Callithrix jacchus: one gene and its partner. The protein of the gene in region 2 interacts with the protein of the main gene of each other region in a biochemical or structural test. Links are inferred from orthologs where the notes say so. Each region holds a gene or a part of one and is shown on either strand. Other genes may lie near its edges.

Region 1 (3,818 bases), on a different chromosome or scaffold from region 2:
GACGGAGTTTTGCTCTTATTACCCAGGCTGGAGTGCAATGGTGCTATCGGCTCACCTCAACCTCTGCCTCCTGGGTTCAGGCAATTCTCCTGCCTCAGCCTCCCGAGTAGCTGGGATTATAGGCACGCGCCACCATGCCCAGCTAATTTTTTATATTTTTAGTAGAGACGGGGTTTCACCATGTTGACCAGGATGGTCTCGATCTCTTGATCTCGTGATTCACCCGCCTCGGCCTCCCAAAGTGCTGGGATTACAGGCGTGAGCCACCACGCCCGGCCCCTTTTCTCTTTAATCCCCCAGACAACCACCATCAATCAATGCATCACCTTCACAGATAGGCAGCAACCCAGACCAGTGTCCTGTGGCACCACATGTCAGCGCTGCTGAGCCATTGAGCATCCATCCTTCAGGACATGCGAACTTGCACACAGTGCCAAACACAGGCTCCCCACTGCAGCTCATGTTGATCTTTCCCGGAACTGCCAGGCTTGAACATTTCACCACTGCAAATGTTAGGTACACAGGTAGAGTTTCAGAAAAATCTACTGGAAAACTTCTAAAACTCACTTAAAAGTCAACAATAAGTATAATGTATAAGCACTACTTAGTTTTTGGCATGTAGGAAATTAGGATCAAACCCCCTTGGGGCAACCTAGGTTCAGAAACTTATGAGGTATTTGACCTGTACCCTAAAAAAGTCTGCACTCAATTCTACCTTGGCAGGAAGGAACCTCTTGTGTCCACTGTCCCTGAGATGTACACTCAAGTCGAGTTGATCCATGTAATTCAAATCCCTCCTCACAGCTGAAGGCACAAGAGGACTTGTAGGTGAATTCTCCAATGGGGGAATGAGCACACTGCACCACACCCCTCGGGAGCTGGCGAACAGCATCACATCTCACAGCTGGAACACATGAGAGAGCACTTTAGAAGTTTATTTGCATCTCTGGTTTCCCAAGATAACCAAGTTCCTAAGCTCTTCAATCGTGTTTATCTTAAAATAAAATAAAAACAAACACCATACCTTCACATGTGGGCTTCTCGTTGTCCCACTCCCCTGTGGGGCCACACTGGAGCCTTTTGGAGCCCTTCAACACAAATCCCTGCTCACAGGAGAACTCACAGCTGGACCCATTCTGGAAGCTGCCAGAAGCACTAGGAAGACAATTCATGTGGCCTCGCTCAGGGCTGGACAAGACTGTGCACTGGAAAGCTGAGACATCAAAATGATGGTCAGAAAATACTGCAGTGGAACTAGAGAGTACTTGGCATTTGTTGAGTGAACCTGTTCATTCAAGCAACTCTTGGGTAACTGAAGAGTCTTTATAATTCCTGGACAAATGGGAAGATGGGTGTGGTGTTGTTTTTTTTTTTTAATTTCAACCCCCTCACTGATCATGGCACTAATTAAAAGACTAATTAACAGGAACATTAGTTCCTGGGCACTGTTATCTAACATGCAAAAGAAGTTATGGTCAAGGGAACAATTTCACACAGTCTGAGGACAACATATGGGTCATGGATGTTTATAGATGGTGCCAAAAAGAAAGAAAGAGAAGAAAGCACCCCAATAAAATTTGTGTGCTTTGCAGTTTGGTTTTTGTGTTATAATGTTTTGCTACTGAAAATCATTCTGTGCTGGCTTTGGCTAGGAGAAAGGCAGTGGCTGATGGTAAAAACTGTTTATTTTCAATATCCTTGCTCTTACGTTAAAGTGAATTGACGTGTACTGCTTATATATGTATCAATACTATTGCTGTAACTGACACCATGCTTGAAATGGTCTCATCACTGCTAATTGTGAGCCATTTCAGAAGAAAGGTGTGATGAGAGTTTTAGATTCAAATCATGTTCTCATTATTCTGCTTTCTGAATATGATTCCTTCAGACTAAGAATTCTGTCTACTCTATGCTAATGTGTGTAAAGTTATATTAGCACATCACAGTTCGAAAAGCAGCAAAGCATTCATTCTTAATACATACGATCCTTTCCCTGGCCAAACTAGTTATTTTAAATGAATCTCAAAGATATGAGTGTTGCTCATCAAATCTGATTTCCATAGTTAAAGTGGGTATTGGGGTTTTTTTCACTGTCCAAGTTTGAAGATGATTGCTCTTTAAGAAAGTATAAATCAAAGGATCTCAAGCTTACCTTCACAAACTGGGATTTGCGGTGTCCACGTCCCTTGAGTGCTGCATTCAACCTGGGCTGAACCCTGCAACATGAAGCCTTCCTCACAGGTGAAGTTGCAGGAAGAGTTGAAGGTGAACTCTCCAGCAGGGGAATGGCTGCACGTCACAGAGCCATTCTGAGGCTCGGGGATAGCCCTGCATGTCACGGCTGTAACAAATGTGCCCAAAGAATTAGTATAGTAGGGCATAGAATTAGTTTACCCATTTCCAGTATTGGGAGAAAGAATGTTAATAGTAAGTCTCCGTGTGGAGCATCTTTACCTTTACACTTTGGCTTCTCATTGTCCCAATTCCCAGATGAGGTACACTGAAGGCTCTGGGCTCCCATTAGTTCAAATCCTTCTTCACAGTCAAATGCACAGGTTGTGTTCCATGGGAAGCTTCCAGGACTTGGGAAACAGTCTACAAACCCATTGGCAGGATTTGTCAAAGCATCACACTCAACCACTGGGGATTTGATAAGAGCACCGTGAATTTTACAGAATGATATTTTCACTTCCTATTGGGGTGGGTGTATAACAAAGTGAGGGAGCTGCCTCCAAAGGGTAGATCCCAAAGTCCTGTGTCAATTCTTAGGGACATGCACAGCCAGAATAAAAGCTTTTATTCTTTTTCATGGGTATTTCTATCTTCTCTGATTAATTTTCACTTTGCCTATGCTGAGTGGTCTCTAACCTATGTTACCATTTACATAAGATTTTACCTTATTTACATGAGGTAAAAATTTTTAAAAAAAGATTTTTGACTGGAAGTTATGACTAGTACTGACATACCTTGGCCATTCATTTATTTTAGCCTATCAGAACCTGAAGAACTGATTTTTTTCTTTTTTGGCCTCTGGTTCAGAAAGATACAATTGAAAGACAAAAAGATATACTGAGACTGCTTGATGATCACGGTCTTAAGTTAGTCCCATAGCATAGAAAAGCTAAACAGGGAAACAAGATGAGGAAGTCACCGAGAGTTCTAGAGCTTTACTGTTTTATGGTCTCCTTTACAAATTACCAGAGCCCCAGAAACACGCAGTCCAAACGTAGAATAAAAACTTCTCTCAACCCAGGCAGGTACTAGGTTAGCCATATACATTGGTTAAGAGAATCAGTTCTATTAAAAATAAAGACAAAAAAAAAAAAGAACTTTCCTGAAGTTTTGAAAATGTTATAAGTTGGATTAAAAAACAGAAGCAATAAGGGATGACTTGGAGAATGTTCTGTGTGTTCTGAGAGGGATTTACCATTGCAGGCTGGAATAGGAGCACTCCATTCTCCAGAGGACATACACTGTGTGGCCTCCATGCTGCTTGGCTGGTAGCCCCTGTCACAGCTGACAGAGCAGGAAGAATTGTAGCTGAAGTTTCCCAGTGGGTGAGTGCAAACCAGGCTTCCATGCTCAGGGGATTCCGGGGCTGGACAGTTCACAACTGAAACAGAAACCCAAATCAGCTCTGCTCATCTCTCACCTTGCACAGTCAAGAACATTGGAAACTACAACTATAGGGGTTTTTTCAGTTTAAAAATTTATAAAATTTTTAATAGAATATGTAAAATTGACTGTAGTTCTACCCCTTTTAGTCAAGAAAATATTGATTCACAACAGCAACAACAAAAACCCATAACAACAACCAC
Region 2 (3,818 bases):
GACAGAAAACCACAGTACTCAAATATACGTCAGTCAGGTTAGACAAGGAGTAACTTGGATCAATGCATCCACAAACTGACACACTTTGTACTGAACACCCTTCGGGGAAGATGAGTGTCGCTCGGGTCCTGCAGCGTGTGCCAACCCTGCAGAGCAGAAGCAGGGAGGGGAGGGCGCCAAGGGTGGGCCTTGGTCTACGTGGACAGTTTTAGGCACGTGATTTATAATACTTTGTGGACATCTAACAGGTTAATAAAATATATATTATATAAATATATCTCCTACTGTACACACTGCTTTCTTGTGCAGCCACTGTGATTTCATGCCCCGAACTCAACCAAAGGTGTGCCAGGCTGAACCACGATGCCTGGACTCCTCCCTCACACCCCAGACTTGGCATCTCCACACTGGAGGAATGATGCCAAGAACACTGCTTCTATGAAGCCCATATTCTGCAAAGGTTGATGAATCAACAAAAGACAACATTAGCCAATGCCTACTAGAGTGGGTACAGGCAGCAAACGGACAAAAAGAAAAAAAACGGAGCAAATCCTCCATCTTTTAATGTGATAACTTTCCACACCCTCTCCACACGGAGGCACAAAGGAGCTTGTCTGGGAAGTTTGTCTGGAGTGTGTAGAAAGGTCAGGCTGGACTACCAGTCACATCCTGAGACCACACTAAACCTTTATAAGCCATTGTCTCTGACCGGTATTGTAGCCTGAAAAATAAAGCAAAGTGAGTCAAACTCCAAGCTCCCGCTTCCTGCCCTGCTGCTCCCCACACCAGTCTTCAAGGACCCCTCCCGCCACAGTCCAAGCCATCTGCTGGGGCCACCTAGAATGACACAGCGCAATGTGTTAGAGCGTGAAGGACAGAGCTTCCGGAGTGACTGTAGCCTGAGCAGGGTCGGTCCAGAGGCAGCTGAGTCCTGTGCTGCCCTGGAGAAGGAAGGTTCCTGGGATCCTGCTGCCCAGGGACTCGGGGACTCGGGGACTTGGAATCCAGCCTCTCTGTGCAGACGCGTGGACTGTCCAACTTCACAAACTTCCGGTCCCTTCCCCTCCCCAGCTGCCCTTGTCTAGGGAGGCTCATGCTTTGCTTTAATGAGGTGAGGAGACCATAGAATACCCATGGTCTTGGAGCTGTGGCTGGCAATGGCTGATGAGGGTAGAAACTGGAAAGCGTCACCTTCTCAGCAGAAGAAAGCAGGACCCCACACAGCCTGGGGAGCGGCTGCCCACCCACTCCTTGGTGAACACCATAGCCCTGGCTCGGCCTCAAGGTGCTTCTGAGAGAGGAACAAGACACCTCAGTAATGGCACACTGGGTCACCACCCAACTTAGAGGGCTTCCCCTCTAAGTTCTGTCTTGGTTTTACACATTCATACGAAAGAAATAACCCCATTGCCCAAATGAAGCCTGGAGGAGATGCGTTACTATATACGTTTTTCTCTTTTAAAAAAATTGTTTTTTGGTGGTTTTCTTAAAAAAAGCCTTTGAGTTGCAGGTCAGGTGAGTTGTTTCTGGAAGTACCAGTAGTTCTGTTGGTACAAGAGAGACTTGTCTACAGGCAGGTAAACCCAAGTTTGCCAACAAAGGCAGGAACCCCAGCGGCCAGCTGCTGCTGCTGCACGAACGGTGAGGAGGAGGAGGACACCATGGACATGAGTGGAGGCTGGACGGGACAACGCAGTGGATACCTGCTGACGCTCTAACACGGGTGTTGGTGTCACCTCTGAGAAGAGCGAGGTGAGTGGGGATGCTATACAGGAGGGCTGTACAAACTGGGCACTGGATAGGTAGTTCCTTTGGTGGTCAAGGTGGCTCTACCTGTCCTTGAGCTCTCGTGTCACTCGCTTGGTGATCCGTCCACACATCAAGCCAATCAGGAACAATATACAGATGCTCCCACTGATCACAGAGAGAATGTAGTTCTTAGATGGAGATGTCATTACTTGCATGGCAAGATCAGAGAAGCCATCTGCTGGGGCCACCTAGAATGACACAGAGCAATGTGATTCTCTCAAAGAGCACTGGGCTAGTGGCAATGTGAGGTCTAACTTATCCCTCTTAGTTCCTAGTTTAATTTATGTCTTTTCTTTTGGAGTGGGAGGGCAGGAGATAAGAAAAATCAACACAGCCAGGTGCAGTGGCTCACATCTGTAATCCCAGCACTTTGGGAGGCTGAGGCGGGCTGATCACGAGGTCAGGAGTTCAAGAGCAGTCTGGCCAACACAGTGAAGCCCCAGCTCTACTAAAAATACAAAAAATTAGCTGGGCATGGTGGTGTGTGCCTGTAGTCCCAGCCACTCAGGAGGCTGAGCCAGGAGAATTGCTTTAACCCGAGAGGTGGAAGTTGCAGTGAGCCAAGATCACATTGCTGCACTCAGCTTGGGCAACAGAGTGAGACTTCGTCTCAAAAAAAAAGAAAAATCAACACAAAGCTACAACTTTTTCCTGATCATAAAACTATATACATGTTTACTGCACAAAAGTAGAAATACAGAAAGATACAAAGTAGTGCGGTCACCCACAATTCCATCACAGTGATCTCCACTAACATCACAACACTGAAGATGTGCTGGGCCCTGGACAAAGGGCTCCCCCTGCCCTCACTCATTTAGTGCTCACACCAAGCCTAGCAGGCAGTTTTCACAACTCCTGTACTCTGGATGGAGAGTCACTGGCCCAGGGATGAATGTGGTTAAATGACTTCTATAAGGCCATGGGTTCTTCTATCTTTTGATTTATGTTCTTTAACTTCGTTTGCTGCCTTTCTTTAAAAAACAAAGAGAAAAGATGAGACTGTTCTGTATATTCTATGTTTTGTAAATTCTATAGTTTGGCTTTTTTTTTTCAGTGAGTTGGGGTCTTGCTCTATTGCCCACGTTGGCATACAGTGGTGTAATCACAGCTCACTGCAGCCTTAAACTCCTGGGCTCAAGGGATCCTCCTACTTCAGCCTACAAGTGCACCACCATGCCTAGCTAATTAAAACAATTTTTTTTCTGGCCAGGCATGGTGGCTTACGCCTGTAATCCCAGCACTTTGGGAGGCCACAGAGGCAGATCACCTGAGGTCAGGAGTTTGAGACCAGCCTGGTCAACATGGTAAAACCCCCACCTCTACTAAAAATACAAAAATTAGCCAAGTGTAGTGACACACACCTGTAATCCCAGCTACTCGGGAGTCTGAGGTGGGAAATCATTTGAACCTGGGAAGTGGAGGTTGCAGTGAACTGAGATTGTACCACTGTACTCCAGCCTGGGCAACAAGAATGAAACTCTATCTCAAAAAAAAAAAAAAATTCTGTAGGGATGTGGTCTCCCTATGTTGCCCAAGCTGGTCTCAAACTCCTGGGCTCAAGCGATCCTCCTGCCTCAGTCTCCCAAAGTGCTGGGATAAGAGGTGTGAGCCACCATAACCAGCCTGTATTCTGACTTTTTTTCACTCACCATTATATCATAAGCATTTCCCACAACAAAAACAATGTGCAGGCCGAGACCTGCCTAGGCAACAAACAAGATCTCGTCTCCACAAAAAATTTAAAAAGTAGCTGAGTGTGGTGGCATGGCCTGGGTCCCAGCTACTCAAAAAGGATCACTTGACCCCAGGAGTTTGAGGCTGCAGTGAGCCATGTTCATGCCACTACACCAAAAACGTAACTTATATTGACAGAATACAGTTAATTGCCCTCTACTTGTGGACATTTATACTTTAACCTCAGCTAGTTTTCACCCTCAGTTTTCCACTGCTTTCCCCAGCAGACCTCAATGGTAGCCTGCTATGGCAGAATCAGGACTGAAAGGGTCCCC

Evidence for each region.
Region 1: the proteins of GLG1 (region 2) and SELE form a complex in vitro, tested with the Homo sapiens proteins (2 studies listed by BioGRID and IntAct). The link is inferred for Callithrix jacchus from reciprocal best matches to the Homo sapiens genes GLG1 and SELE.

What each region holds. Positions count from the first base shown.
Region 1 is NC_133519.1:32,780,252-32,784,069, reverse strand, and holds part of SELE (E-selectin), read right to left. Parts: intron 3,614-3,818; coding exon 3,428-3,613; intron 2,641-3,427; coding exon 2,455-2,640; intron 2,342-2,454; coding exon 2,153-2,341; intron 1,214-2,152; coding exon 1,025-1,213; intron 905-1,024; coding exon 716-904; intron 504-715; coding exon 327-503; intron 1-326. UniProt on the Homo sapiens protein: Cell-surface glycoprotein having a role in immunoadhesion. Mediates in the adhesion of blood neutrophils in cytokine-activated endothelium through interaction with SELPLG/PSGL1. May have a role in capillary morphogenesis.
Region 2 is NC_133521.1:31,777,910-31,781,727, forward strand, and holds part of GLG1 (Golgi apparatus protein 1), read right to left. Parts: intron 1,998-3,818; coding exon 1,834-1,997; intron 722-1,833; coding exon 646-721; 3' UTR 1-645. UniProt on the Homo sapiens protein: Binds fibroblast growth factor and E-selectin (cell-adhesion lectin on endothelial cells mediating the binding of neutrophils).